Schizosaccharomyces pombe: one gene and its partner. The gene in region 1 interacts genetically with each later gene. Each region holds a gene or a part of one and is shown on either strand. Other genes may lie near its edges. The genes, in order: bch1 and apm1.

Region 1 (16,571 bases):
ACTTGATGAAGAAGGCTCAACTTTTGTTCATCTAATAAACTTATTTCTTTGTAGACATATTTAAATTCCACAAGTGGTAAATCATTAATCTGAGTCTCTTTTACGGAGTGCTGAAGTCTCAAGTCTTCAAGGTACTTGATCATTATGTCCAGCCAAATTTGACGGTGTTCATAAATAGTGGAGGATGAACGACGAAATCTTTTTAAAAACTGCAAAAAGTTTACCTTGTCGTTGGTTTTGTAAAAAAGGGAGAGTAGATATCTTGAATAGGTAGCACCGTAATAAAAATGCCGTCCAGGTCTTTCATTAGGAGTCCTCCAAATGTTCAATAGCGATTTCCCGCTAGTTTTGTATGAGAATAAAGTTTCCATTTCTTCCTTTGCTTGTTGAACATTACCTAAATGCTCCATGATTTTAGCAATGCGATAAGTTGGTCGATGGTGCCAAGATTGTTTATCCAAAATACGCATCTCTGCTAACGCCTTTAGTATAAATAGTAAAGCATTCCTTTTGTAAATGTTTACGTCTTCGTTTTTGACTTCCAAAAGGCTTCCTGAATCTTTAGGAGGATGTCGGATACGTCGTAAATATGAAAGAATTTGAACGATTTCCACTGAACCTTCTATAGCAGCCTTGCTCAAATTGGAAAGTAAGGCATAATGTGGCTCAATAAGCAATGCTTGCTGGGAACCACTACCTGATTTAGTAGGAGCCAACGCAGCAGCAGCCTCAAAATGGACCAAAGCATTCTCCATATCACCACATTTACGGCATGCTTTGCCTAGCATGTACAAAGCTCTCCAATCATTACTTAATTCAGCAGACATGCCAAAATAGTCAGCAGCCAAAGCTATAACTTTTGATACTTCAATTGGCTTCATTGATAAATTATAAAGACCCGAAGCCCCACTAAAAACACGGGTTTCACTGGGAAGAAAAGCCGCCATCTCTAAAGGAGGTCGAGCGGATGCATAAAGGTTCATAGCAAAATCAAAATAGACGTTTGCCTTAAATAATTTGTCCTGAGTGAATGGCAACGATAAGGCCATTAAGTTACAAAGGATGGCTTTTCTCCTATACTCGTTGATGACATCGTCTGCGAGGCAGATTTGCTCTGCACTCCAGCCAAGCTCTTCATCTGCTAATGAAGAAAATACGGAGGAACAAGTATACCATGAATCTTGTCGACGTGGATTAAGGTACAAGTCAAGAAGAAAATACTTGATGATCACAAGTAAATCGTTAATGCATCTACTACCTTTCAGTCTAGAGCGATAATATCCAAACAGTACTTGAGATTGAGCATAGTAGAGCCCCCTAACACGATCATCCACAACCTTGCTACCAATTTCGCGTAAACCAAGGATGTCATTGGACTTTAGTAACATTTTGGTAAGTTGTGGAGATATATCTCTTTCCAAAAATTCTTTAATTGCACATTTGTTGAAATAAACGTCAGCATTATTTTCACCAGGAAACCTAATTACCTTACAAATTATTTCTAATGCGTTTTTTTGATCAGAACGAGGCATTACCCAGCCATGCGACCGTTTGACAGCAAAGCCGAGTATGAAAGGTATTATCTTTATGGCATCATTTGAAGTCAAATTAACAGAATCTGACTGATGAGATTGTGGAACATAGTACTCGCTGCCAATAATTAGGTTAAAGCGACAACAAACGCATTGTAAAATTTCATTTTCGTTTTCCCAAGCATCTAATCGTTGGCATTCAGTTTGAGAGAGTTCTAAAAATGATTGATTAGAGCTCGAACAATAACCTCTAAAGGAATATTGGCTATGTATTGCGGTAAGGATTTGAGGTAATAACTTTTGAGCATCAGCTTTAATAAAATCGTAATGAAGTAAATGCGCAAACAGAGTGTAAAATATGCACCAACCACTCATCAAAGAATCTTTTACCGTTTGAGCATAAGAATCAAACTCAGGGTTTGAAGGTTTTGGAATCCTTTGATCCGAAATGTCCTCATCTATTCCAACATAAATAGCAAAAGTGCGCAAGTATATAAGGATAATTCTAATGCAATCAATGACAGTCATCTCGTTACAGGGAGACAATATATCAGGTTGCTCATGTAATTTTTGCCAAATAATCCTGAATAAATTTGAAGAAAAATTAAGCATGCCGAGTAGTTCAGCCTGACGGCGACCGGCATCTTGAATACTGAATGACGAAGAACAAAGCCTAATTAAAATAATTTTTAGCGATTGAAAGGCACACAACAACGAATTATAAGGTCTATGTGCTGAGCTATAAGCCTGATACAGTAAATACCATAAGTGTATTTGAAATTCAGTAGAAGTCTTTTCCAAAAATTGAGAAATAAATTTTGCTTGAGGATCTTCTGCAAATTTGTTTTCAGGAGAAAGGACGGGTTCCAAATTTTTTATAACGGCATTAAAGTCCAAGTTTTTGGTATTCATAAATAAAGTATTAAAAAACTCAACGGTTTGTAATTTGGAAAGTTCAAAATCGACAACCTGAACGCTCAAATCTGCCATGCATTGACTGTTTAAAAGTTCAAGAGAATCACTGTTTTCTTGCAAAAGACAACGCAACTGTTTGAAATTTTCAACTATAGCCTCACTAGAACAACCAGTTAACCGTAACAATAAGTTTCGAGCCCATGAGTTTCTAATTATCAAATGTCTTTGGCTAGAACTTTTACAAGACGGCTGCAATTCGACTACTTGTTCAGTAAGAGATTTCCAACGTAAGCAACGTAATTTTTTATATTCCAATGACTCAGTTGGTATTTCAGAAACATTATCGTCTTTTTGATCATTGGAGCTAAACTTGAGCGCTAAAAAGTAATCGTCTAAAAACAGTTCAAAAAGCGATTGTGAAATATTAAAAACTTCAGGGGTTTGTAAGCTTGCCTTCACCAGTTCGTGAAGAGTGCTTTCAATTCTCTCACAAATTGTAGTAAATTTCTTTTTAAATATTTTCCCCCAACATTGCTGCAAATAGAATGGAGGCTCTAATTTTCGAGGCCTTAACATACTCTCAACAAAGAATGTAGCAAGCTCAGCGGGAACCATATTGAGACTATTTACTTCACTTAATAATTGAAGAAGATAACCATCCGGGACCTGCATATGCTCAAGTCTATTAGCACTATGCATAGCTAAATCAATAAGAATCATTTTGGAGAAAGCTCCGTTAGCTGCTGAGTCGGTCGAAACATCTAGGTCCGGAATACTGCCTTCGCTAGGAAAATTAACTAGTAATTGATGATAGTCTTCAAATATGGAACTATATTCTCGAAACATAGATTCACCTGAAAACGGGGAAGTTGCGTCAGGAAATCTTTTTTGGATTTGCTCATTAATATCCGAAGTTATGCTTGCAATCAAAGAAAACAAGTTCGACTCTGAAGGCGTTCGTAAGTCTCTACCACGAGATCTTTTACTAATGCGTACATCGGAATCATCTATCGGCCTCTTAAGGAGTTGGGGTTTAGGCAAATTATCCGAAGGAGGTGGAACAATGTCCTTGGCATAAACAGGTTCAGACAATTTTGCAGCTGTATTAATAGTATTAGTATCGGGCCCTGCATCTGAAATTTCAGACCATAATTCTGAATCAGTGGATTCCAAATCATGCGATTCTGCGGTGCTCAAATTCAGGGAATGAACATGAATAATTAATGTCGAAGGAAAACCACGAGTCGGGGTTTTTTTTTCATTTATCTGTAATGCATATAGAACAAGATCTAAAAAACCATGAAGAGTGTCATGAGATAGTTGAAGTTTTTTTATTTTCGGGCATAAGTTTATGGACCTTCGATGAAATGAAGGAGTGGGTAATTGAGGAAAAAAAGAAGGCAAAGTATAAAGAGAACTAATCGACAAATCCAATTGCGGTAAGGGTTCTGCTATACCGCCTAACTTTTTTAACAAATTGTATAGGTTTTGTAGAGAGATAAGCTTCCCAGGATTTAAATCATCAATATTCGTAAATACTCTCTCCGCGTCAAAGGGTTCGTAGCCGGTATAAAATGATGACTCTAAAGCAAATCTTTGAATTCTTGGCATTTCCAATTTTTCAGCTAACTCGGCAACAAAAGACCAAAGTTCTATGTCATTGTAATCGCAAGCCAATGCAATAGCAAAATCGAGCAGGGCGTCCCGATACACAGGGATGGGATCGGTTGAAGGATCTAAGGATAATAAAGATTGTAGCTTTGACAGCAAAAACAAACCATGATTTTTTCTAGTGAGGTAATGTAGTAGCAATAAAGCATTATTTTTTTTATAATTAGAATTAACGGTAAAAGGGAGTTCGCGAAGAATTCGAACATTCAATAGCTCATCGTAATACTTTGTAGCAGCATTGTCATCTCCCTGCTTCTGGGCTGAAAGTGCATTTTGATATATTTGAACAGCTTCTTCAATTCGGATTTCTAAAGTGCGTTTTTCCTTATCCAGATCTTCACTGGCCGCATTTAGAGGAGTAAACGTTGCCATAACCTTAATATGAGACTTCCAAATTGATCACTGTATAAAACTGTAACCAGAAATTGAAAAAAGTATGTAGATAAGATGTTAAAGTTGTAGATAAAGGAAGCGATGTATTACAAAAAGCGTCAAACAACTGTGGTTTTCAATACTATACTCCGCAAAAGCATTGAGCAATAAGCCTGCATTGGAAGATCAAGCTATTGAGCGTCCTAAATTCAGATTTCAGCTCTCTACACACCTTCAAAAAGCAAAGATAATTAAAATAAGTGCTAATAACAAAAAAAAAATTAAAAACTCCCAACGCAAACAAAACCTCAGGAAATCAATCAGTGCGTTTACAGATGTTTATATTAAGTCATAAAATCGGTATGAATTCACTAATTCCCAAGGCAATTTAAGGCTGGTTCTTTAATGTTTTGATGCACTGAACAAACTTTTGAACTTGGGTGACGACTACTTTTTTAAGTAGGAACAGATTATGAATTGCAATCAAAAGCAAACTTTTATAGTTTTAAGGGATGTTTATCATAAGGATATTGTTTTGTAACTCTTCTCTTACTACAGACTTTATCAAAGTAGTTTAGTAATTTCTTTGATGTCGTTAAGAAAGCGTAAGTGGTGACTTTTGTCTTTGCTGTGTAACGTATTTAGTTCGTGGTTTTCAAAAAGAAGAGTGTGTTGATTTTCTGCATCGTTAATACCGCACGTTGCCTTCGACTACAAACGCCAACATAGACAGGTGCAGACAGGTCTCAAACACGTCTTTAGTGGCATATCTAGAGACCCAAGTAGTCACTAAATAGCGAAGTTAAACGATACACTATATCCTTGCAAGAAGAGAAAGAGTACAAGGCATCAAGTGGAGTTTGTTTTGAATGTAATGCGATTTCGTATGTATACCCTGTTTCTTTCATTCGGGCTCTAAAATTGTATTCATACAATTAAAAATTTTTTAATGGGTGAGTTTGCATGATTGTTTGAAAACAGTAGAACAAGCAATTTTGTTCGACGTTGAAGCCATTTTTTAGAAACTAGATAACGATACAAACAATTAAGAACATAGTATTGTAGTAAGTTTACTGTGTAATGCGACTATAAATGATCTCGGTAGTAGCAAAAACAAAAACTACGTTAATGAATGATATTAGTGACAAAACTCACTTACTTCTAAATTAGCTACATCTCATTATAGTAAAATCAACAATTTTTGGTTTTGAGACAAAGGCCGATTATAGATTTGATCGAAAATACAGAGCAACCACAATGATTTGAAGTGCCATTCTCAACAGTTTTAAGAAAACAGAGCAAACTACCTTGTTCTATTAAACTTCATCATTAAAAAAAGTAATAAAAATTTATTGAAAGGATCAGTTAGTAATTCAACGTTAAGTCGAATATAGTAATCATTATAAGAGATTGTAAACCATCAGTGATATCTGTTGAAATGAGTGAAACATCAAATGAAGCTGAAATATTACCAATGGGTAATGAAGGACAAAAAATTCGTTTGTAGCCTTTATTTTCATTCCTTATCAGCAGACTTTGCCGAATTGTAAGACTCCGTTTTTTCCTGAGCGCCATTTTTCCATCGAGTATAAAGGAACTCTGCATCACCATGAGTTTTAACCTCGTTTTTAATTTCCGGTTTTAAGGCTTGACGAACAGTTTGGGAACAAATAGAAGCATATTTGCTATAACTACAAATATTCATTCATTAGTAAAACTATCAGGGTATATTTAATGTTCACATTCAAGAAATGAATCCATACCTAAAGTTTTTCTTCCAAGCAAAAGCCATTTTCTCAATGAATTGCTAAATCGTACAGAGATGGGGGAACGGTAACTTAAAATCCATGACACTCTCTTGAAACCCCGTTCGGTAAGGGTCGGACACATTTATTGAGTTCAATATGTACATTCGTTAATCTAACATTGGTAACGTGCTTTTCTTAGTAAAATATAGCGCAGTTTGATTAAAATGACTTTGGTGATGCTAACGATTCATCGCTATACAGATTGCCTTTTTATTAATCAACACTATTCAGTAAATAAATATTCAAAAGGCCGTATTAATTTGAATTGACAAATGAATATATACCTCTCATCAGTCAAAAGGCTGGTTATTTTCGCTACTAACCATAATTTATTAGAAGGACAAAGCGGTACCAAAGCCTTAATTGTTTACTAGCTGGGCAAGTGAAAGTAATTCAATACATTCGCAAGAAAACTGAACTTAAGCACTGTTACGTTTCTCACTTTGTTTAATCTTAACACTTATCGTAGTTAATTTAAAAATGTCAGTTAAAACAAGCAATGTATACTAGCACTCTCCATTGATTGTATTTAGTCAAATTAGCTTTCTTGATGAGCGTTAACATGAATGGCTTAAGCATAAATTTCGATTCTTTCTTTGTAGAATTTTGCACTATTAAATAACGTATTCGCACATGTTATTTGGTTTTAGGATATTTTAAACAAACAATGGTTCATTGCAAGAGACATCTATCAAAATGTATGGCTAGATGAAACAAAAAATTTCTTGTCAAGGAGATATATAATGCAAAAATCAATAACTCCTGATTCTACTTTTAGACGTTTCATTAAAGGTTCGTTAAAGATTTCGAAATTCGGAAAAAAATTCACAGCAACTTACATTCGCAATTGCTTGGAAGTATTGTATTAATTTATCATATGCTTACCAGCGTATTGTGCGAGTTTTTTAAAGCTAACATTGTGCGTATGACTGGTCTAACTTTTAGTGGAAACTAACATAAAGCTGTTCTTTTTTTTAATACTAATTGCGTTGGATTCCGCACCAACAAGAAATTTTTATTTCAATTGTATTAATCAATGAGTTGTAATCTTAAGAAAAAATTATCGCTACACTATTCGTTGGGTACTACTTTTGACTTCCCTAAATCATCAATTGTCAGGATGAATGAAGATACAAATCAAAATGTATAATATTCAATTATTTTTTGGTTTTCAAATACACTAAATGCATAATTTAATGATATTTATTTATTCTTTATATATAAGGAAATTGTGGACGATTGCCTAATTGTCGCTTGCTACACTTCGTTACAGCAAGTCAGGCTGCGGCTACACCATAACCTCTTAACTGGAACCAGCCACGAGGCCGAATTGAACGCTGCTTTGCATATTAATTCCAATTTATGATATATGAGTGATTCATTCTTTAAGGATATACCAGAGTAAGTTCCTTAAATATAATTGAGCTGAAGTTCTAAACAATGACGATAGGTTTTTAGAAACTCGTGTAAACGAGTCATTAGATGCGCGTTCTAAATCCATCGCACAATTTAAAGAACTCGGGCCTCCTGATCAGGTCAATACTATAAAAGTTAATGCAAAAAATCCATCAAAAGAGGTATGTCACTTTTTAAAGCAGCGAAAGCTGTAGTGTTAATGATGTTGGAGATTAGTGGGGAAAGGATCAAGACAAGTCTCTCTTTACCAAACTTTTCACTCCTATTGAAACGTTAACGTTTTACGTATTATTAACCTCGTCAAAGGTTGGAACTTATCACTTTGTATCTGGAGTTGATGCTTCTTCCTCAGCTTCACTAGCGGCATATTTAAATACGCTTTCCTATTCTCTTGATAAAAGTCAACAATGGTTTGGGAAGGGAAACGCTTGGCGTGTTAGTCACGGAGTTTACTGTTGCTACAATGTCTTCTCTCAAGTTGATGTTCGTGTGGAAGCTAAAATTCCTGGAGGTGTTGACACATATGCTATTGATGAGAATGGGCAAAAGCATATTGTCGATGCTCGTATGTGGACAGAAGCATATATGTCTGAAGTCCTTCGTTCGTTACTTTATTCTGATGATACAAATTCTCGCTTTGCAGGACATCGTCGTTTTAACCCCATTCCAAATCCTGATGCAGAATTAAGATTTTTTGAGGCTGCCGAACAGCTTTTTACGTTAGGTTATACTCTAGGGTCTTCTTCTGAAGTTCGGGTACCTACGCATGTAAATAATCATTTGGTTCGTGGAATTTTCGCTTACTTGAAGCAAACCTGCCGCTACAGTGCTGCTCTAAATCTTTTTGAAAAGCTCCGGGTGTCAATTCCAGAGGTATCGGTTTTGCTTGCTGAACTATACTTACTAATGGACCATGAAGTGCATGCTGTTCGTATCTTGCATGATTCATTGCTAAAACAAAGAATGTCCGCTAGTTTGCTTATTGTTCAAGTTAAGTTTCTGATTTCAAAAGAGCGCTATGACCTTGCACTTATCTGTGCTAAGCGCGCCGTTCATGCTTCTCCATCAGAATTTGCAACTTGGGCATGTTTGGCTGATGTATACTTGCATTTGGAGGATTTTAAATCAGCGTTGTTAGCTCTAAACTCCTGTCCCATGTATACTTACTATGAAAGAGATGCTTATCCTTTGCCTCCTAGTGCTCGTGCTCATTTACCATTTCCTGTCAATTTTCCTAAAGAAGAACTGGAAGTTGAAAATAATGCGCAGAACGGTTATACAGTTTCTACCGAAATTACCGATCCTTACTTAGCTCGCCTACCATCTCCCAGTCTTCGTGGTACATTTGCGAAGGCATATGAAATGCTCACCCTTATATGTGCCAAAATAGGTTGGGATGAACTATTGCGGGTTCGTTCAGCTGTCTTTGTGATGGAAGAAGAATATAGATCCTTAAATGATATTACAGAAGGAAACGCTTCTCCCGATCAAAACGAAGTTGCAGAAGAAAGCGTTGCAGAAGAAGTTGTTGGTTTAGACAAACCAGAAACATCTGTTGGTTCTCTTCCAAAAAATGCCACTGTTCAGAGTAAACGTCTCTGTGAGCGCTGGCTAGATAATCTTTTTATGGTTTTATATGAGGATTTACGTGTATTTACGATTTGGCGCGCTGAATATACTCACTTTAAATCTCAAGGTCTAGCTTACAGAAAAGCTCCTGCAGAATGGGAAATACTAGGTGAGGTTGCTTTTCGGTTGCATCATCGTGTTGAGGCTGTTGAAGCATTCTGCGCTTGCTTGGAAAGTATGTTTTCTTTTAAGGCCTGGAAAACTCTTTTGATAATTTATTCAGAAGACAATAATATTGAGCTCGTTTTGACCGCTATCGCTAAATTAACACTTTATAACTACCGATGGTATCAAGAGGTGAGTTTTTTTCTTTTTTAGATTCCATAACTATAAAACGCTAACATAATCTTAGTATTCCCCCTTTCTTCTGGAGCAAATGAAAAATCGCATTATGCAAGATGGCGCTTTGAAGATGAAGAGTATCCTTGCTTCTACTAGACTTGATCCGTATATCCTTAATCTTATACATAAGCTGTATTTTGAATGGGCTATCGCCTTTCAAATTCCTGGCCATGAATTGTAAGTTTAGACTCATTAAAGCTTTCGTCTAGTGAGTTTTCAAGCGACATTCTTTGCTTTCTTTATTCCACGTTTCCTTCGTTCTGGTTTTCGTTCTTTAGTCAAAACATGTGATGTTGTTTCCCGTTTTCGTGTTTTCATCGAGATTAAATGAATTTATATATATTATCTAACACGCATATAAATATTCTGGTCATGAATAAAATTTTTTTACCATTTTTAAATCATATATGATATTCCTATCAAGAGCTCTTAAGTAATTGTACAGACTTTGTTAATTTTTTGGAAAGCAGAGTGAGCGCATCCTTGCTTGTTCAGCCCACTTTTGTATGCTTATAATCCCCATTTCTCGAGATTGTTCTCTAATAGATTTATTAGATGTCGAATCAATCAATGACCAAGGTGTCAGGTTTATATTAGAACACAATTTAGGCCTCTTCTTTTTTATGCTACTTGTATGTGTCCGACTCGGTGAATAATAGTGATTTTGGGCTTTTCTAGGGAAGACGTAAGCAAATCGGAAAGTTGACGATGATTCTTGCTCCAGCTCTTTCGCCACTTGTACTTGTAAATCTTTTGTTAATGTCTTTTTCCTTGCCTTGGGTATCTACATAGCAATTAGTACAACAAAGAATTTCCTACAACCCATCAACGTATTTGAAAATACATCCCGGCTACATACCGTAGTGCCCTTCTTCGCTTTTTGGAATACAAAGTCACCATCCTGGATCATCTTTCCCAATGGTGTAGTTGTCATTGTCTAACATTTGATTAGAAATTCAATTCTTTTCTATAGTGTTCACGTTTGTTTATTTTTCTTAACCAGCATTTATGGTTGCCATGTCAACCTGGCATCTCAAAACAAAATTTCGTAAACAATAAGTTAACAATTGTAAAAATTATATAGGACAAAATAATAAAGATAAATTTTCTTCTTAACAGTTGTTAAATTTTTTTTGATGCTGGTTCATTATTGACTAATCAAGAATGATAGTAACGTCTACGTATGGCGAGATACATACATAAATTATAGGATATCTTGACAACTTTTTGAAATGTATTTTTCATACAGGGAATGGCTAAATAAATATTTTTAAAAACGAGTGGATAATATGACATGAGCATTGTAAGCGGTAGAAACAAAAGTAGCCTTTAAACTTGAAACAGTATTTCAAAGCACATGGAAGTGTTTTCAAATTATTTCAATATGATAACTTCAAATCAAAGGATTTTGATGTAGCACAGCGTGAAGTTGAACAAAGGCAAGCCATCGTTATCTGCTTACAAAACATTAATATATACAAATTCCTTCATAAGAGTTCAATAACAAATAAACAAAAAAATTAAAGAGCAACCTCTAGCTCGTAATTTACTTTGTGTTTATAAGCGGCAAGCTCGTCTCGAATTTTTCGGTAGAAAAATGTCCGAACGGAGTTTTCGGGGACAGAAAATTCAAAGTTTACACCCTTCAAAAGTTGGAGAAAGATATGCTCTTTGCTCTGTAACTTAACAGTTTTAACTTTGGAGAGATGAATTTCTTTTTTGCAATTAAGCTGTTGAGGCTGAACAAACAATATCCTATTATTCGTTAAGATCACAAGCACTTTATTTTCAATAATGATATGAGCCTTATAAAAATCTTTAAAATATCTTCCATTATCGAGATGTTTTAGCCAGTACTGTCCCAAAGCCTCCCGTAGTTGAAAAGGATATACGACACCATCATCACTCATCAGTCTTGACAATCTTAGCTTTTCTATGTGTCGTTCATCAAACACAGTTGTTGTATTTCTTGCGCCTTCAGAGATACTTGACGCAAAATCGAATAACCCTACCAATGGTTTTGTCGTGAAACCCACCAAACCCTTACCTAAGCCTTTAACAAGGCCAGGAAGTCCATTTCTCCTTGCTCCAATAATAGGTTGTAAGGCTAATCCTCTGACACCACTTCGAACTCCTGTGTAAAGTGACGCAGCTCCAGCTGTCACTCCATAAAGTATATGAACAGGCCGATTTCTGATACGAGCAGCACGTCTTCGGCTTTGGAATTTGGGATCCAATGTGATCACACTTAAGCTTCTTGAAATAGTGCCCGTTACTTTTGAAATACTGTCAGTGATTCCGAATACTGCCTTTTTAATAAAGCTTGCAGTACCCTTGGCAAATCCTATACCTAATTCATAAGAACCCTCGTTTAAGATAAAACCATGAAAGGGTTCATAAAATATATCAGCAAAACCGGACGTTATTGTGGTAAATAAGCCAACAGGATTTCCCAAAAAGTCTGCTGATCCAACAATCTTATGCACTTGGGATAAAAGTTCTTGAGAATAATGGTTTTTGACAAGTTCAAAAAGACGGCGGAGAGAAACGTGTGCATTATCCATGAGAAGAGCATTTAAACGGACTGGTGCATCATTTATGTTTCCTATTGCCATTGATAAAACATTCACGAAAAAGACAAATGGATTATGTGAAGAGACAACGGTGCCATCAGTATTATTGATCCTCTCCGTACGAACGAAAGACAGATGCATTTCAGTGGGTTGCAAATTAAGCACTTCAAAATACACTTTCAAATCATTTCCTAGATTTTCTGGTACAAGTTCCAGCGAATCATCAAACATCTTGCCGGTATTTCTTTTGCTTCGGGGCACAGAGTCCTTGATGTATTCGAGTGCAGCAAAAGCAAAGTCCTCATCAATTTCAATAGTTAATTCCTGAAGTAATATAGTAGCATATTTTACGTAAGTCACACCGTATGTATCATTCTTGACAACTGCAACCATTGAGTGAAACGTTGGTAAAAGTGAATTGTCATTCATTGTGTCTTCCTGTGATAGAATACTTGGATAGAGGATAATTGGATAAATTCCTCCATAAAGCTGGTTGTCAATTTGTATCCATCGAACATCTAATTTAAAAGTGCGTATAAGATGGGAATCTGTAAAGAACAAGTTGATCCCATGAAAGGTCAAATACGCTAATTCTTGCGTATTCCGTTCTACCAAAGATATCCCAATTCCCTCCAGCAAAAATTTGACGGACAAGTCAATCCCGGAGTCAAATTGCTCCAAATTAAAATCGCGTTCTTCAGTTGAGACTTTGCTGTATATCTTCGGCTTCCTCACAGCCTTTGAAGGATCATAGTCTTTTAGAATAAGAATTTTCGAAAGCCCATTAGCGACTATATCTCGTGAAATAAATTTTGTATTATTGGAAGCATCGGTGAATTTAAAGGGAGAAAGGGGGCCAATTTCTGCCAAAGTAGTTAAGCATTTTTGATCACCATAGCATAAAGCAATTTCCTTATTAGCACAACAGGGATAATCCCAAGAATACTTTACCTCTGAATGAGGCGGTATATCATGGTACTTCAACAAAGCAGTATTATTCTTTCCTTCTGAGGCATCAATAGGATTTACCTGCCAAAATTTTAACAAAACACCAGATTCATTTTTTATATAGTATGGCCAGTCCCCAGTCTCTTCAAATATACTGATAAAGATTGTGGCATTTTTTATGACAATTTCCAAGCGTAAAAGTTTTTCCCCTTCCGAGGTCATTAAACGTACATGAGTTGACCCTATCTCCTCAATATAAAATGATGATGACCAAAGGTAGCAATCTGAGGAGGATAGCTTTAACATCGGGTGTGAATGCTTTCTTAAATATGTCAAAAACTCTTCACCCTCAGGAGCGATTTCCGCAATAAAATCGTTGTAAGGCTCCGCAATCACCAAACTCCATCTTGTTTTATTTCTCACTATGAATCTAGAAGTTATTGTAACGATATTAGTTTTCGAGTAACCATCGGGTCCCGTTTCAACAAAAATACCTAATCTGTAAACTTTATTATGGTCTTCCTTGGAAGGTAATTCTACTTCAAACACACTGCCAATCGCATCAAAGCTAACGGGCTCACTCCAATTAGAATTATCTGCTCGTAACCGACATCTTCTGCTGCCATAGTTATGCGAATATGAAAACATACATGGAACAACTTTGCCGTCTTCCCCAGACGAAAGAGAAGCTGAAGAAAAAGAAATACGGTTGTAATCATTTTTTGGACCAACAAACAGAAAGGACCCTGACTTGTTAATTATTATGTACGGGCTAAAAATTTCGATGTGATAAATTCCAGGATACTTTTCAGTATAACTCAACCCTAATCTTGTTTTTCTACCTCCCTGAAGAGTGATTGTCATGTACTCATCTCTTTCTTGAGCAGAGTCGTTAGTGATAATAGTAGCCAAGGAGCTGGGAAGGTAATGCGACTCTGATGACTCGGCTTGTAGGAGCAAAACGTGGGAAATATTTATCGAGTGAACATATGCGCACTCTCCAATACCAACATTCGACATCCATACTCCCTCTTGGTCCTTATCGATGATTCGAATGTTAAGATCAATTGGCAATAAGTTTTTCACTTCTAGGAGCGCAGAAATCGTAATATGCATAAAAGGATAATGGTTGGATATAGTTTGACTTTTAAGTTCTGCATTAGCGGCAAAACGACACGCAGGAGTCGAGAAGGTGTTATCTGAATGTTGGCATGTCACAAGGCTCTGTTTGTTGTCAACTAGATCTTTCCAAGATATAGCTTCCGAAGTCCAATTAAATTTAAATTCTGAAACCGGTCTAATGTGAATTGAATAATAATAAGCAGTTTCAATTGGCAAAGAGCAACTCTCTTCAGGGCTCATGTGGTATATCTGTGACCTTTGAATGCCATCTGAGTCGCAAAAAACTACATCTATTTCCATTTGGGTCTCATTTATCAATAAAAGTGGGGAACGTAGAGTGATATGTTTAATATAATCTTCTCCCAAATTGACATCAACTACCATATAATGCTTTAGCTCGTCTTGATCATAGGAAATTAAGGGATATATATGCTCTCCTACACGATTAACTCGTACATGTCGTAAAGACTCCCATTTACTGTTTTCGAAATGGAACCCTATATAAGATCTATCCTGATCTTGTTTAACCACATCCTGCATTTGTCTCCATTCTTCAAATTTCCAGTCGGTTTCTTCGTTATTTTCGAGATGTCTAACGCAAGAATCTGCAGCATTTTCAAAATCTGCCCAAACACTAACAGCATGTCCTGTGTAGTTGTGAATACGATAAGGTGCGTCACATTTGAATTCAATAGGAAATGGAGTACTGATAACTTTGGTGAAACCAAAATGTAGAGTCTCAATTAACTGAGGAGTAATAACCAGATCTAATTTCTCTCTCGAAAAAACATGTACCGCAGTCTTCGATGTGTTTGGATTCCTAGAAATATGTACACCTACTTTCCAGGGCTCTAAAAAGGGCTCCCAATGAGAGTTAGAGAAGTTATAAAAATTCATAAAAAGCTCCAAATGTGCATTTGAATTTAACTCGGAAGACCAATCGTTAAGATCTACCTGAAAAGGCTTAATGTTAATATTTAAAAGTGGAAGATCATGTAGTTGACTAATAACCAATAGTCGAATACCGTCAACTGTTAATAAAAATTCTTCCTTGCATATACGTATTCCAAAAACAGAAGAAGGCTGACCGGTGTCTACTGACAATTGAAGAAAATCGGGATTCGTCGCTAGTTGATCATCCTTCGTTCTCTTCAGCAATTCAACATCGGTTGTGGGGACATCGTATAGGGCATAATAAAAATTATATATCTTACGTAAAATAGTTTGGAGGAACAGAAAGTCGTTCACTGTAGTCCTTAAGACAAACGAATCAAAATCAAGAGTGATGTTGGTGATTATCTGAATTTTGTTGACGGTATGCTGCGAATATGTGTAACGAAATCCAAAAGGGTCTGCTAACTGATTAGATATATTGGCCGTCTCGCTGAGAGGACAAGCATTAATCTTCATGTTGTTAGCAGTAACCGCAAAGATCGATTGTTGGGTAATTAATAGCTCTCCAAAAAACATTGGTAGTGAGTAAAGATTGGCATCAGATACGTTTCTAAAAAAGAGCAAAGTCATATCAACAAATGTAATTCTGTAGTACCAATAGCTTTCTTCTCCACAAGCATTTTGGTTTGGATTTCCCATAATAAAGTATTCAACCTCTGTTAAATAATCCAAGTGCGAATAGTAAGCACGATGCCAATGAACAAATATAGACCAAATAGAATACAAATAATTCAAATTGACAAATATCTTCGGTGAATCAATATCTAGTACGAGGTTGTATCTTGGATTTTGAGAATCATATTCAAGGCAACCATTGACAAGTCTGTTATGATTTTCACTGTATTCTAATACATCCAAAAAAACGACATTATCTTGAGGATTGCAATCTTTTAATTGTATAGAATCGATTGAAAACTCAGCATAACAACGACCGCTTGAATAAAAATTATAATCAAGTGAGAATCCAAAGAAGCTTAATATGGAATGCAATTGTGTTAAATCCCCACCGTGAATCCAGAAATCATCGGTGTGCACATTGAGACGTATTTCAGGTAAATTAAACGTAGTGAGAATATCTAAAGTTTCTACTACGGTTTTTTTTGGATGTTTTAATTTGGCAGCAGTACCGGACCTATCAAAAGCCTTATCCAGTTCTCGTCTTAGGTTTTCAGAAGTATAAAATGAAGAATCAACTCTAGCAAAGGTAGTGGCTACATCGATTAAATCCCAGAAAATAACATGATGTGACTGGCACATGTTTAATATGACAGGATCCAAATCACCAGTTG
Region 2 (15,776 bases), 1.9 Mb from region 1:
TTGAGACAATAGATCTTTGCAGATAATAAGATTCATCTTTGTCAGGGCACAACCTACCATTAGAGACTTGCTGTAAGTTTTTATCCATGCGATCTACAACTGCTCGGCACATTGTATCAATAGATTCCCAAAAGTCTTCATCGGGCTTCGCAGACGCAAAGAGTAATAAATACGAATTCTTGACCATTTGAAATGCTTGCTTCTTTTCTTCTAAATCGGAATTTTGATTGTTTAAAACAGCACATGAAGACATTAAAAATTTGGAGTGCTCTAAGCTAAAATTCTGAGAGGAGCCTTGGAAAGAAAACTGGATTGAAGGAAAAATATTTTCATCTTGCAAAAAATCAAAGCCAAAGGTACCAAGATATATTTGTCTATTTCGACCACCCATTTTTCCTAATATTCTCACAGCACTTTGATGCAATTGATTATTGGATTGATTAAGGCGTGAATGATTCCACAGGCATATCAGCAAATCCGGCATAATTGAGTCCAATAAAGGATCCAAAAATTCTTGAGTAAGATTATCCAAGCAAAGTTCAAATATTCGAAGCCCTTGACTAGCTATTTCAGGGGGGCCTTTTAATGCAACAATCAATGGCTTCATTAAAAAATTCATATGAGGCAACAACACACTGAGTCTAATGGGTAAAGTCAAACAAAGTTCCGCATACAGCTCTTTTTGGGATGTAGACGTAACAGTAAAAATCAATCTGTTGAAACATTCTAGCATTACTTGGAGAAGTGGTAGTATTTCCTTGTAAAGAGAATCAAATTTTCCTCCACTGATATTTCTAAACAAAGCTTTCATTAAATAAACGTAATTTAAAGGTTCAACAGCATCAGTAGTCAATTCGAGGCTAGTTGAAATGATATAGGATATATGGGGACGCAGGACTTCTGCATTTTTTTCGGGAAAAACATTCACAGTCATAAAGGCCAACTTGAATAATCGCAATAAAACAGAAACCCGAGTGGATTGGCCAGACCCTATTTTAGCTAGATTGTCACAGCAAAAAGACAGCACGATGCCCGTGCAGTTGACAGAAGTAACTTCATTAGACATCCAAAATTGGAAAATATGCAATAAAGCAAGATTATCTACTAGACACTCAAATATATTCGGAAACTCGGATTCCAAAATTTCGACGAAAACAGATGGGTCCAAGTGTAAAAATAAAGTTGCTAACATTTCTAAGAGCTCCTTCTCTTCTAAGAGTTTAGAAGGGTTTGTGGTCAACGAAGAATCAAGTTGAGAGTATGCAAGATTTTTCGAGGACTTGAATACACCGGTTTTTTCATCTGTCTGGTAATAACTGAATCCCTTTAAACTTTCCACAAGTAATCTTCGAAACAGTAAAACTTCATTAGTTGAACTAAGATGTAACTTTTCAGACCATTCCTGAGCTGTAAAAATGGAACCGTTGGCAAGAGGAATATTTCGTTGCTTTAGTCCAAACAAAACAGGCTTAATACCTAATAAGGTGTTTTTAAAAAGAAATATGCAATCTTTTAGCTTATCCAAACCTGAAGGTTGGGCAGCTCCAGTAGGGTTCTCAAACATAGGAAGATCATGTTTATTTTCTTCTATTTTAATTTGCTTTAAGTCAGCATTTTCCTGTAAAGAATCTCTCAGCTTCATAAACTCGAAATTCAGAGAAGTCAATTTTCTTAAGAGACATAAAAGTATAGCAAATAGAAGTGATCGGCTAGTGGAAAAATCTTCTAGTGCAACAATTCTTTCAACCAAGTTTAAAATAAGCTTTGTAGCCATTGCCTGAATAGCTGAAGTATAAAAGTCGTCCATCAAAATACTGAAATAAAGAAGTATGACTTTGTAAATTTGTTGTGGACTTAATTCCATACGCACATAATGAAGCATATCTGCCAGCATGCTAAAAGCCATGGGTCGTAATGAATGCTGAGAAGTGATTCCAGAACCAACTAGAATTTTGGTATCAAGTAGTTGATCTACATACGGTAGAAACCCTCTCAAATAATCCGTCGATAAGACGTGCCTTGTAGCTACCAAAAGTTCTCTTCGAGTCTGATATAATTCGGAAGGACAGTCCATGAACAATTGCAAGGTACATATTGGGATCGAGCTTTCAAACTGTTTAAGAGCAGCACCAAAACTTCTCAATAAATAGGCGAGAAAAGAGAATGATTTAATTTGCGCAGAAATAAGGTCATTGTAAAGATGATTTCGACGCAAAGAAGGGACTACACCAATAAAAACCTCTTTTTGAGATTCTGCAAGTCGACGAGCTTCGGCTTGAGGTGGAGGACGAAGTGAGATAAATTGAAGTACAAGCGGAGCAAGTAAAGGAAGCATTTTCGGAATAAGATCTTTGTATGTTTGAAATAGGAGAAAGACGATAATGGGAAATTCAGCAGTGACCTTGAAACTCGAAGAAGCTTTTGGGATCATTTTTGGACCTGCATGTTCCATTCCAATTTCAGCAGGAGATGCAGAAGATGCAGCAGACATGGGATGAGAGGATGGAGTATTCGGAGCTGATCTAGGTGGGAAAGCTTCTGAAACAACTGTGGTCATGGATTTGTAGTTTTCAACGACAATGGATAAAAATTCCTGAACATGTCCCTTAGCAAGGCTACTGTGGTCCTTAAAAAGAAGGACAACAAGCTTCAATGCCAACACTGCCATCTCTTCATTATCATTAACGACTATACGAAGAAGCACGGCAAAAGTCCGATTAACGAATGCTTCAAAACCTTTATAGGATCCAGATTTCTTGAGCAATTCAAGCAATGCAATGCGTAAACGATGTGTAGCTGCTAACGATGAAAATACAGGACGTTCCTTTTCAAGCAAAGACAACGTGTCCTCCAAAAGAGGAATGAAAGTTTCAAAATTCGTCTTTTCAGTTACCAACACATCATCCAGTGCATCTCGAATTTCAATTGCTGTGTTTGCCTTTTGCTTCGAGTCTAATCCAACATCACAAAGCCGATTATGCCAATGTTCGCATTGTGATACATCCATCAGATGCTTGGATCTCTGCGCAAGCTCTTTTTTAAATTCCAATTGCACTCGGATACGTTTTCCTAAGTATTTAACAATTACTATTGGAATGTTGTGGGATAGAGCAAGCTGCATTTCTTTCCTCTAAATCACTTTATGAATTTTACATGTTTTCGCTATTTTAATTAACGGCCTTATTATTTTGTGCGGTAGAAGTTGCTAAAATGATGAACGAGATAAAAATAGCGAGTGATACCACAAAAGTTCGTTTAGCCTCAGCTGCATAATTTGTCGTAAACAAACCATTCATTCATTAATCTGTTCATTACCATTTTTAGGCTACCTTTTAGTCAGTGATCTTTAATATATCTTACCGATTAGTAAGTTAATTGATTTCCAAAATGAGTAAAGCTATGGCGTTGCGACGGTTAATGAAGGAGTATAAGGAGTTAACGGAGAATGGGCCTGATGGTATTACTGCAGGTCCATCGAATGAGGATGATTTCTTTACTTGGGATTGCCTAATTCAAGGCCCTGATGGAACTCCATTTGAAGGTGGGTTATACCCTGCTACCTTGAAATTTCCTTCCGTAAGTCCTTTACTATAAACCTGATGGAGACTGAACATGTGATTTAAGTTGTGGATAAGTATGATGTTTCGCATGTTTTATGTATCAACTACTTATTAAAAAATACGCGCTCTTTTTCATAAATTAACATTTGTTCAGCGTAAATAAAGAAAGTAACTCAATAATCCATTCGTTTAGAATGATCATTTAAGAGAAGTGCTTTTATTCATTAGTAATTGATGAATCCTTCGATTTATTGATGAGTAGGAAGAAATTTTATTTAAAAGATCTATCTAAGTTTTTTTTTGGGGGTTTGGTTTCTTTCTTTGAATCGCATGGCAGTACATCCGGGGTGTTCAAGCGCACGTTGATACGTGCTTAGTTTTATTTTTATTGGATTCTAACTTTTTTATGTAGGATTATCCTCTTGGCCCCCCTACTTTAAAGTTTGAGTGTGAATTTTTCCATCCAAATGGTATGCCAGATACTATTAATCCAAATTTCGAGACTAACCTTCATTTCAGTTTACAAAGATGGGACGGTTTGCATTTCCATCCTACATGCACCTGGTGACGATCCAAATATGTATGAGTCGTCTTCAGAACGTTGGTCTCCTGTTCAATCTGTTGAAAAAATACTGTTATCGGTAATGTCGATGTTGGCGGAACCAAACGATGAAAGTGGTGCTAACATCGATGCGTGCAAGATGTGGAGAGAAGATCGAGAAGAATATTGTCGTGTAGTTCGACGATTGGCTCGTAAAACCTTGGGATTATAACCATGAATTGTATATTTGATTAGATTGCCATGAATAACGAACCTGATAAAATCTAGAAATAAAGTTTTGTTCCATTTTTGAACGCAACCGGTAGGCTTTTCTCTTTCTATTCCAACGTATAACGCTACATAGGTTTAATTACAAGGTTTAAACAAAAATGAAAGCACTTTTCCAATTCAATTTCTATCTGTAAATGATGGAAGATAAACATTTTGTCTATTGAGATAATCCATCTTTTAATAAACATCACTTGAACTTTCTACACAGATACATGGCAACGTACATCGCTGAAAACGAATTATATTGAGAAAACATCTAGAAATTACACAGTAAAAAACTTAACAAAATATAAGAATAACCCCAAATTATGCTCCAAAAGAAAAAAAAAATGCATCAGGTGCATAAAAATATTAGCTTCCCACAACCTACAAAAGAAAGAGGTAAATTTTTTTACAAAATAAAAATCAGAAATTATCAAATAAAACGATCATATTCCATCTTCCAATTTTTCTTCATCACCAGTGTTTTCTTCACTACCTTTAGCAATCTCAAAATCCAGAAAAAGGTCCATTACTTTTTGCTGATTTCGAATATCAGCTTCATATATAGGTGACTTCTCATAAATATTCTTAATATGAGGATCACCTCCCGCTTCCAGTAGTAATTTGCAAATTTCAGCATGTCCATTCAGTGCTGCCCAATGCATTGCGGTGTTTCCACTCTCATTCTGAGCATTTATTACTTCTTTATTCAAGTACGGGATTATTTTTTGAACAACAGCGATGTGTCCATTAGCACTAGCCATATGAAGTCCAGAGTTACCATTTTCATCACGACGACTTAATTCTTGTGGACATTTCTCTATAATCTCATCTAGTAACTCCTCATCCGCAGCTCTACAAGCGTAAATTAAATCATCAACATCCATATTAAACTATCCAATCCAGTAAAGAAGGATGTTTTACCGGTTTATTTGGAAAGAGAATGATGTGAAAACTGTTCGTTTGTTAGTGTAAGGTAGCCGCGGCTTCTCCAACTTGGCTTCGGCAAGGCCGTGGTTACTTACTACACCACAAATTCCATTGCAATTTTATATAATTATTCAACGAGAACCTGCCTTCTACAGCAGGTTAATTTTTGATTTATAAGAAGGAGAAAAAGAAGTTACAGGAGTGTTTATTTCCGAAAGTCATAGAGATTTAAACCAGTATATATGCTTTCCTTGTAAAAAATTTCATTGCTCACACAGCTCTCGATTCCTCATCTAAATAGCTATCTGGTAGCGATTGGTAGACTATTTTTTCGGGTTTATTTCCCATTATATTTCAGACACTCTTTTTGACCTGCGAAACTTTTTGTCCTCATTTTGTATCAATTGACTTCAATAATGGAGTTAGAAAAACGGATTTATGTTGGTGGCCTTTCATCCTCTATTGAATCTTCAGATTTGGAATCCAGATTTTCTCGTTTTGGAAGTGTTTCAAATCTTGAAATTATAAACAAATCTACTCCAGTAGGAACTATACAACGATTTGCATACTTGAATTTTCGAACAGATGAAGATAAATGGCAGAAATGCAAGTCTTACTTATCAAATGCGACGTTTAAAGGAAGTAAACTTCGTATAGAGGAAGCTCGCCCTTATTATTTAGTAAAATTGCAGCAGGAAAAAAAAATTGCTGATCTTCAAAGTACTAATAATGATGAGAAAAATGAAGATCACTCCAGCAAAGTTGATCTGGAAGACCCAGTCTTTCATGGAGAAATAATTGTTCCCGGAAAACATAGTAAAAATATGCAGGTGGTCACGGATTCTGATGTTCGGAAGGATCCTCCTAGAAAAGGTTGGAAAAAAGGCCCCTATGGAAGGGCCATTGTCGTGCTTCGAATGTATAATAAAAATACTAAGAAAACGAGGTTTTTTTATCCGCTGGGTAAAAACTGCTTACAAAAACTATGGGGCCGAGTGGAAACGAATATGGACAATACTACAGCTTTTTATGATTCTGATCATGATGAGTATGTATCATATGGGGGTAAGAGAGCTTCTCGTGACAAAATACGTATGCAAGCAAAATTGGGTATCAAAGCTTCTACTCAGAAGGATGATAACGATTTTGAACTTCTTAATAACACAACTGGGGAGATTGAAGTCACAAAAGAATTAAACGAAGAGCAATTGGATGCTTTGCGAAAAAAAGATAAGGATACGGCTGCATCTGTGTTAGCTGAACTGTTTGGTTCTGAAAATACAGAAGAAATTGATACCGTATCTAAAACTTCAGGTGTTTTGGAACTGGACAATGATTCGACTAATAATTTCCAAAAAGAAGGTTTGGATGAACAAGATAATTTACAAAAGGAAGAGTCCGTACACATAGATGTTCCTGCTGAATTTGAAGCATTTGATGAGCGTACTGCTGTTGTTAACGTTGACAATTTAAAAGAAATGTTTTCTTCCAATGCGCAGGATACGTCTAAGTTTTCTCTTTTTGGCAATGAAAATGGAGTTGGTGAGGAAAGTGAAATGGAAAGTGAGATTGATGACCGTAATTACGAAACTATGGAAGAAGAGGCAGATGGGGAAACTCCGCTAGCTATAGTTAAAGCCTCATCGGGTACCAAGGGTTGGCCAAAAATGTTTACTCTACCCAATCCTTCTTCCCTATTCCAACCAGGTAATGAAGATTATACGAGCAGAGAAGCTCTTGAATCCTGGTGGTCGGAAAATCGTCTATTCTTAACTCGTGATTACAAACGAAAAAGAAAAGATGCCGTAAAAAGACAGCGAAGGGCTCATGAAAAGCGTATTCGACTTGTTTAAAGACGCGTATAGGTTATGTATTTATTGGGAATTTATTTGGGTATTTTAAGGTTACGAGGTATATATTGATTTTTTACACACTTTTGGAATCTTTACGTTGTTATTTCTCTATCCTTTTTATTTTAGAAAAAAATCTGTGTCTTTTTAAAAAGCCACGATGTTCACTTTGGTTTTATCATTGGTGAAAGTTAACAACTTTTTTCGTTGCACTTTCTTGGGATTTGTGGCTTTTAATATTTACAATGTTTGAGATCAAATTTTATTAAAATATTTGTTATTCTTATTGTTATAAGCCAAAGTTGTCAAATAAAACATACCGAAATTTTCTTACATTGTCAGAAAAATTATTTTCCTTTTCGGCATTTACAAAACCATATAATGTAAATTAGTTATAATTATCTGAATAGATTATCTTATAAAAGAAGACTGAATGTGTGCATAGAGTAGTAATTACTCAATATAAGAAGAATTTCGTACTATATGTAAGAAACAGAAATAGTGAATTACGCTGTATTACACTAGCGGTGCTTAGGCACGGTGATGAGGCAGCCAACAGTCAATGCTAGTTATCCAGAGCGAAACTAGCTGCCTTATTCGCGGCTTCTGTAAAAATGGCTTCTGCTATATTCGTTCTGAATTTAAAGGGAAAGGTAATCATTTCCCGTGATTACCGGTAGGCAATTTTGAAATCTGAATGAAAATCAGATTGTCGCAATTCGTCGACAGGTTACTAACAGAAAACAATTAGAGCTGATATCCCCATGTCAGTAGTTGAAAAGTTTTTACCTTTAAAATCAGAAGTTGAAGAAGAACAAGGATTCTCCACCCCTTGTCTCACTCACGAAGGCATTAACGTATGTAAAAGTTAGATATTATGAAAGCCAACAATTCTTATTTTTTTATGGTCGTACTAACACTTTTCAGTACATTTACATTCACCATAATGATGTCTACCTCCTTGCTTTATCCAAAATGAATTCCGATGCAATGGAGATGCTAGTATTTTTGCGTAAAATGGCGGACGTTTTTATAGATTACTTTAAAGAATTGCAGGAAGAGTCGATTCGAGATAACTTTGTTCTTGTTTATGAATTGTTAGACGAGATCATGGATTTCGGTTTTCCACAAACAACTGAAACAAAAATCTTGCAAGAATACATCACTCAAACCTCAAATACGGTAAAAAAGCATGCTCCACCCCCCATTGCTATGACAAATGCTATCTCCTGGCGTTCTGAAGGAATTCACTATCGTAAGAATGAAGTATTTTTGGACGTTATTGAATCAGTTAATTTAATTGCTGCTGCCGATGGTACGGTCATTCAAAGTGAAATCTTAGGAAAAGTTCGTCTCAAATGCTACTTATCAGGAATGCCTGAACTTCGTCTTGGGCTCAATGACAAGGTCCTTTTCGAAGCGGCTGGTCGTACCATTAAAGGAAACACTGTGGAAATGGAAGATGTGAAATTTCACCAATGTGTTCGTCTTGCTCGATTTGAAAACGATCGTACAATTTCGTTCATTCCTCCTGATGGCGAATTTGATTTAATGTCCTATCGCATGAGTTCAAATGTAAGTTATTAGTTTGTGCCTGTTCTTTTTATTCCCTCTCTCCTTTATCAACGTTTTCTAATATTAATTTCTCGTTAGGTACGGCCATTAATTTGGGTTGAATGTGAATCCATCGTGCATTCAGGTTCGAGAATTGAGTTTATGGTAAAAGCTAAGGCTCAATTCAAAAAGCGTTGTATTGCAAATAATGTCCAAATCATCATTCCCGTTCCGGAAGATGCTGACAGTCCTCGGTTTCAAACTAGCAATGGTCATGTGCAATATGCACCTGAACAAGCTGCCATGGTTTGGAACATTAAGAAATTTGCAGGTGGTAAAGAATTTTTCATGCGTGCTGAAATGGGTTTACCAAGTGTTAAAAATGAAGATATTCAAGTTCAGAAAAAACGTCCTGTTCAACTAAAATTTGCTATTCCCTATTTCACTACCTCAGGGATCCAAGTTCGTTATTTAAAAATCACCGAACCAAAACTTAATTATCATGCTATGCCTTGGGTTCGATATGTTACACAAAATGGTACTGAATATTCCATCCGTCAGTAAATGTTTCTAATGATGGTTCTCCGTTCCGTTCTTTTTTCTACCTTTAGATACCTTTCCCTTCATCTATATATTTGTTTTCTTAGTGTACTGATCCCATTTATTACGAAATGAAATCTTGTTTGCAGACGCGCTAATCCTTTTTCTTACTCAGCTGACATAAAAGGAGCATTTGCTTGAAACATAAATGTCTAAGTCTATTTATTGTATAAAGGATAAGTTCAATGTTTTTATTAAAACAGAAATAAAGATTTTCTAACATACAATTCCATTTACTCAGTAGTGAATCTCCGTGTATTAAAAATACATAAAAGACAGATTGTTCCAAACGGTTTTCTAAACATAATAAATTAAAAACCAAAAGCGAGAGAATGAGAGGGAGACCGGATAGTAAGAAAAAGATTGAAGGGAAAAGTTTAAAGGTCTAAGGGTGTAATGAGTTTTCAAGTACGTATTTACTTTGGAGGTTCAATTCCGAAAAACTTAGCACGGATGGACCACATGTTTTCACGGATGCTTCGTTCCTTCTCGCCCCAATACGGTGACGGAAACTCTTCTTCAAGAACAGGTGTAGCCTGTTTACACCAGTCGTGTAGCTTGTTAATGTAGGTAGCGTCTTTTGGATAATCCAAAGAGTGATACATATTATTTGCTCCACTCAGCGAAAACATTAATTCGTCTTGCCATTTCAGCTGCTCTTCTTTGCTGGGTAATTTGAGGCGACCAGACCAAACTCGCGCGAGGAACGCTGCCTGTGCTTGACTAGTAGGGAAAGGAACAACGTGTAGAGCTAAACCAACAAAAGCCAGAGTTGGATCGGGGATATAAAATATATGTTGATAGACATTGTGCACATGACTACCATCATCAATCAACTTGGTTTCAGGGGATTTCAACTTAGCCAGGGAAGGAAATGGTACGGAATACAAGTATCCGGTACAATAAATAACTCTGTCAATATTAGATAACACTTTTCCACCTTTCAAGTATATTTCCCTAGTGGTAGGATCGAACTTAGTAATTTCAGGTACTTGTTGCAACGATTCATTCTGTATGTCCCCTCCACCAAGAAGACTTTGATATATAGGGTGCTTAGCGACTGGCGTCAAGTGTCGGACGAGATCGTTTGCAGAAGAAGCACCACCAACTACAAGTACTGATTCACCCACGAATAATTCTGGTTCACGGAATAGCGATGAGTGTAGAACTGACCCCGGCACGGCTTTAGCGTATTCATCGAGACCTTTAATATTGGGGATATAGGGTACTTCATAATGACCATTACAAATTGAGACTGCATCAAAGATATCTTTACTAATCGGGCTTCCGGCTTTCGTTCCTTTGTATGTCACGACCCAGGAGCCATCCTTCTTTTCTATATCTAGGACATCGGTGGCTAATTTTATAAAGGGCAGCAGAGGTTGTGCATATATCCGTTGATATTCCTGAATGGTATGTCGATGGGGGAATTGAAGAGTTTGGGGTTTAAAGCTTTGATCACAATAACCCATCAACTCAATTGGGGTATTAGTTTGCAGATCACGATACAAAGGTGAAGGATACACAGGTAAAGCAGCTGGTCCGACAATGGGTTCGGTTGTTAAAATGGGATTTGTGCTAGGAACCGGTAACTTATTTGATAAAGTACTTGTATAGTTCCAAACACCACCCGGAGACCCCCTTCGCTCAAAAAGCGTGACCTGGTCAAACGCCTTTTCTGCTAACAGCGCTTTAGCCGTAACTAATCCAGAGGGACCAGCACCAATGATTGCAATTTTTCGAATTGTTGGAAGACACATAAGAACAAAAGAGAAAATGATAATTTTTTGATTAGTACCAAGTAAATTAAGATATTTTTTTTTCTGTACAAAGAATAACAGAATGAAACAATATCCAATTGTGAAGGAGTGTAATTGAATGAAAACTACACTTTATGTGCGTTTTATATCTTTGCACGTTCCGATTGTCCTCAATCTGCCAGGGGGCCTTGAAATCGCTGATAAAGCTATAGCTTATTGGCTAAAAAATAGAAGTGCTGGTTAGCGATACACATATTGAAGCCAGACACTATCTGTATATATAGTTTGTTATGGATTCAAAAACGCATCCGCTTTTCGCAACTTTAAACAATCTTTTCATCATACTCAATATTAAGCACGACTAAATTACAACATCCGATCAACATTTTAGTAATCCAAGTTCTGTTATAAGCGAGCCATATGACAAAAATGGGACATTTGAATTTCTCATTTAGAGCAAATTAAAATAATAAATGTAGTTTACACCTCTTGATGGATTTAATAATTAAGATCAAGCTGATATCCGAATGTAAATTTGACCTTGGCAACGGATTATCAAAGAGAAAATTTTTTTAGCGTCCAATGATAACAGCGTTTAAGAATTAGTTACTTATAAAGACCGAAGCGATCTTCCAGATAATGAATAGCAATACATTAGATGTGAACCTATTAATGTTGTTTAAAAGATCTAGTAAGGGCATTTTGAAAGGAAATCATGCTGATGAAAAAAAAATATATCTTTATCTTCCTAACACTTCTTGCAATGGCCATAAGAGAAAGTACGTCTCTGCTGCTCATACTTTTCAAGCATGTTGAATGCTTCAAAGTAAATGATTATAGTAATTTCCCAAATAAATATAGTTAGGTGACTTACTGACTCCGCCTAACGCGTAAGTTGGATTGTTGAAACAATTAAGCTCTTGCTGTTACAACGGTATAGCTTAATACCCAAATAATTACTTAAATGCTTTAAATCATCATAATACCAACAAACGTTCGTTTTTATAATCAGAGACAAGAAGATTTTAAGATTTGCAGGGAGGTATACTCATATATAAATTCATTGTATTTTAGAGTACTATCAATTATGTATCTCAAAGAGTATATAGTAATACATGAAATAAAAGTTTTTAAAGTTGAATTATAATTTGATGTTCTATAATTGGGGTGAATGCACCCTAATTGACAATAGAGAATTCTACGAAAAAAATCATGCATCCAGGATAGTCATATAGGATTTTGGTTAAAATTGGCAGCACAATATAGTTTTTGATGCAATTACAGTTAACATGCATAATACTTGTTTTGAAAAAAAGTTATGAATAAAAGCTCAATTGTAAGCACATCACAAAGAACGATTTTTAATCGTAATTGACGATATGTAATTTTGGATTTCATATAAAATTGTAACTACTTATTAAATGATCATTAGGGGAAATAGCGCACACTGTTTTATATCCTCTTCAAATTTACAAAATGAAATTAATCAATTTTAGCAATTTACCTATTTTATATGATTGAATTGAATTGAAAAAACCATGAGTTGATTATGACGCTGAAAGAAAGACATATAAGATCCTTAGGACACTACAACTCTTTCTACTTGAATGCGAAAGTGGATTGGTCTCACCAAAAGATTACCGTACACAAGAACTTCGGTGCTCTAGCAAGTTTTCTTTCAACCAGGGCAATTGCAAAACGAAGAAATTCTAGTGGTACACCACACTGTTAAAAAAAATTGACTAGCATATTAACATTGTTAGATTATTCACTTTTTAAATTTGGAAATACGAAGCTTCAAACATAAGCCATAATAAACACAGTGAAGGCTTTAGCATTAAATTTATTAAAAACACTGCTTAGCAGTTTGTAAAGTCAAATGTTTGCTATGAACATTTTGAGTAAAAATATAACAAAGATTTATTCTTTTCTATACAAATCAGAAAATATATAAAAACAAAACATATAGTGAAATTAACATATATAACAGAAAAGGAAGCAATGTAATGAACAAAGCGATCTAGACTAGAATATGTCAAGGAAACATACTTTACGACGTACAGCCAGTCTAGTGAGTAAAAAAAAAACACACTCTTAAAACAAATACCAAGAACACGAAAAATAAAATGTTGTAATATTTCTGAATGTATTGGTTCAAATACCAGTAGTGAACGTTAGTATTAACAGAAAGAAATCCAAAAAGAACGAAAATGCACAACGAATAAAATAGTATGAAGCAAGATAATTAAGTCCGAAAATAAAAATTCCGTACCATGGAAAAAGGTAATGGAGATCACTTACAAACAGAAAAGTCGCTGCTGAGATGCAATAACAAGAGGAGATGAGAGATGACAAAAACTTTTGGGAAACTTAGGAAGAAGAGGATATGGAAGTGACGGGACGAACATCGTTAAAATTTGGTTCCATGGTAGGAAGTTTGAAGGCGATTGAAGGACCTGCCTTTAACATCGGAGCAGACTTCGAGGACTTGTGTAAGTCAATAAGTAGTTGAGCATAAACCTTGGTTTCCTCGGATTCACGGACACGTTTAACAGATTTAGGGCTTCCAGAGTACAAACATCCTTCTACACTATTGCAAACACCACGTTTACGTATCTTCTCCATTACTGCTGGGTTTTCAGGTGTAAAATTAATTTCGTTTTGGGGAGACATAGATACACGAATTCTTCCATTTTCGGATGGAACGGACTTTGCATCTTTACTGTCACTATCCACACGAATTCTCTTGGCCGAATCACCCAAGAAGGCATGAGGATCTAGCTCAATGGGAATCTCTGTATAAACGGCATTCTTAGCACAGGGCGGCTCGACCGGATAATTGTACTGATTTACATAACGGTTTTCATTCTCAGTAGTCGCAGAATCTGGCTTGACAACTTCAGAGTTTACTTCGACTTCCTTGGGGCTATCCAAAGTAGAATTCTTCAACTGAGCCTGCAGCATCTCCAACTGCTCAAGCAGCTCGTTGTTCTCCTTCTGTAACTTTCCGATCGTATCCTGATATTGTTTTTCACGAACACGGAATTTGGCTTCCTCGACCGACAAAGCTGAAGTCGGCCCAGGTCTTGGTTTAATAGGTGCCTTTCTTCTTCCCAGAGCATCTAACGCAGGTTTCCTTCCTGGTTTGGGACGAGGAGGAACAACCCATTGTTTAGAGACGCGAATCATCGGCTTTTGAGGTGCTGGAGAAGCAGAAGATGATTTTTCCACTTCCGATGGACTTTTAGACGATTCCATGAGCAAAAAAAAAGTTGGGGGGATAGGAGATATCAAGTACAGAACTACACTTTTAGCAAAATATATAAATCTTTATTTTCCAATACTCCAATGCCTCTACTGACCAAGCTTAAAAATCTCACTTTTTCAAACGTTTGTCGTTGGTGGTTTGTTTTAATCTGATAAAGAGATACGATTAAATTATATCTGATCTAAGTGCCGTGTGGTTCGATGATTGTACTGTTAACCCGGTATGCAACACCTCGTTATATCTTTAAAGACTCAATTTTCGGGAAAAAACGGATTAGTGAACAGGTCGGCTTAGAGGCGCTGTTGACATACATTCTCAATACCCATCATTTCAGTTACAGAACCAATTAAAAAACGCGGGTATGGTGGACATCATCTGATTAAAACCGATCGACCTAATAAACTCTGGGCTCTGGCTATGTAATACTACAATCATTCGGCACACCAACTATCATAGTAATGCTTATCCATGTTACTTTTTTGGAGTTAAATTAATGTTCTGACTCACTGCTTTTCTCATGTCATACCGTCCTTTGAAGATTATTTAACATTTGTTTATATTTTTGATATAATGAGATGAAACGAAAGTGCACTAACACATGTGACTGTTTTTTGACTCCTAGTATATAAGAAATGTGAGTGAGTTAAAACAAAGCTTCATCTCACAAAATAATGAATTACTGATGTCAAAAAGTCTGCTCTCTTCTAACGCGGTTATAATATAGAACCGTATTAATGGTTGCAGCTTTTTCCTCTTCATGGAATCGGTATAGATTATGTCGGGGAGACCGACAGCATAGCTTAAAACCATCGTGAAGTCGTTGCTTCGTGCCATGGCTCGTGATGACCGAATGCTACGTACAGTTTTTATATTTTATATCATTTTTTAGTTTGATTTATGTTGTATTCAGTTATTGTTGTAGTTAAAATACGTTGTTTTAATAATTCACGTTGTTTCGTGCCTTCTCAATGAATATCATTTTTTTGTAAGCATCATATGTCTCATGTACAGTAGTGGTAAAAAGAATAAAGGTTGCTATGCACGCAAGGATGGAGTGAATGTATGGATACTTAGCTACTCAGTTTATCCAAATGGTTTCGATAAAACTTCAAGCACAATCTTAAATTAAAGTTACTTTGCAAATTCATCAACGGGATTGCGATTGTCGTGAAAAATTTAATTGATTATTAATAATTCAATTATAAAAATATGAAACAAAAGAGCTCGAAAAAACATTACTTATAAGAAAAATCGAAACAGCGCTAAAACATTTACTGTAAAGCTGAGGAACACCGAAAATAGCAAAATTTAAATCTTCAAGCTACTCGTACCCTGAATACTCAAGGCATATATAGTACCATTAGCTGATTACAACTCTTGAACCTATCATGATGTGCCTTGTTGTTCTTTCCCTTAAGTCTCTTTTCCCGAATTTTGTAG

What was found.
Region 2: of bch1 (region 1) and apm1, changing one enhances a phenotype caused by changing the other (phenotypic enhancement), as found in Schizosaccharomyces pombe (one study listed by BioGRID).

What each region holds. Positions count from the first base shown.
Region 1 is NC_003423.3:3,778,181-3,794,751, forward strand, and holds bch1 (ChAPs family protein), read left to right. Parts: upstream 1-7,607; 5' UTR 7,608-7,667; coding exon 7,668-7,699; exon of another isoform or gene 7,700-7,748; coding exon 7,749-7,875; exon of another isoform or gene 7,876-7,898; intron 7,899-8,020; coding exon 8,021-9,640; exon of another isoform or gene 9,641-9,695; coding exon 9,696-9,866; 3' UTR 9,867-10,133; downstream 10,134-16,571. Other genes in the region: histone chaperone Hip3, read right to left, coding at 1-4,490; F0-ATPase epsilon subunit Atp15, read right to left, coding at 6,007-6,181, 6,254-6,282; SPOM_SPBC31F10.17C (uncharacterized protein), read right to left, coding at 10,137-10,469, 10,545-10,595; vps1301 (lipid transfer protein), read right to left, coding at 11,206-16,571.
Region 2 is NC_003423.3:1,902,412-1,918,187, forward strand, and holds apm1 (AP-1 adaptor complex mu subunit Apm1), read left to right. Parts: upstream 1-7,729; 5' UTR 7,730-7,768; coding exon 7,769-7,830; exon of another isoform or gene 7,831-7,905; coding exon 7,906-8,011; exon of another isoform or gene 8,012-8,081; coding exon 8,082-8,729; intron 8,730-8,807; coding exon 8,808-9,272; 3' UTR 9,273-9,404; downstream 9,405-15,776. Other genes in the region: SAGA complex, phosphatidylinositol pseudokinase subunit Tra1, read right to left, coding at 1-3,007; ubiquitin-conjugating enzyme Ubc7, read left to right, coding at 3,388-3,576, 3,973-4,030, 4,080-4,333; ribosome biogenesis protein Yar1, read right to left, coding at 4,821-5,261; ribosome biogenesis protein Nop8, read left to right, coding at 5,721-7,157; fmo1 (flavin dependent monooxygenase), read right to left, coding at 9,725-11,068; CCAAT-binding factor complex repressor Php4, read right to left, coding at 13,439-14,326; SPOM_SPBC16E9.02C (CUE domain protein ), read right to left, coding at 15,750-15,776. UniProt on the Schizosaccharomyces pombe protein: Component of the adaptor complexes which link clathrin to receptors in coated vesicles. Clathrin-associated protein complexes are believed to interact with the cytoplasmic tails of membrane proteins, leading to their selection and concentration.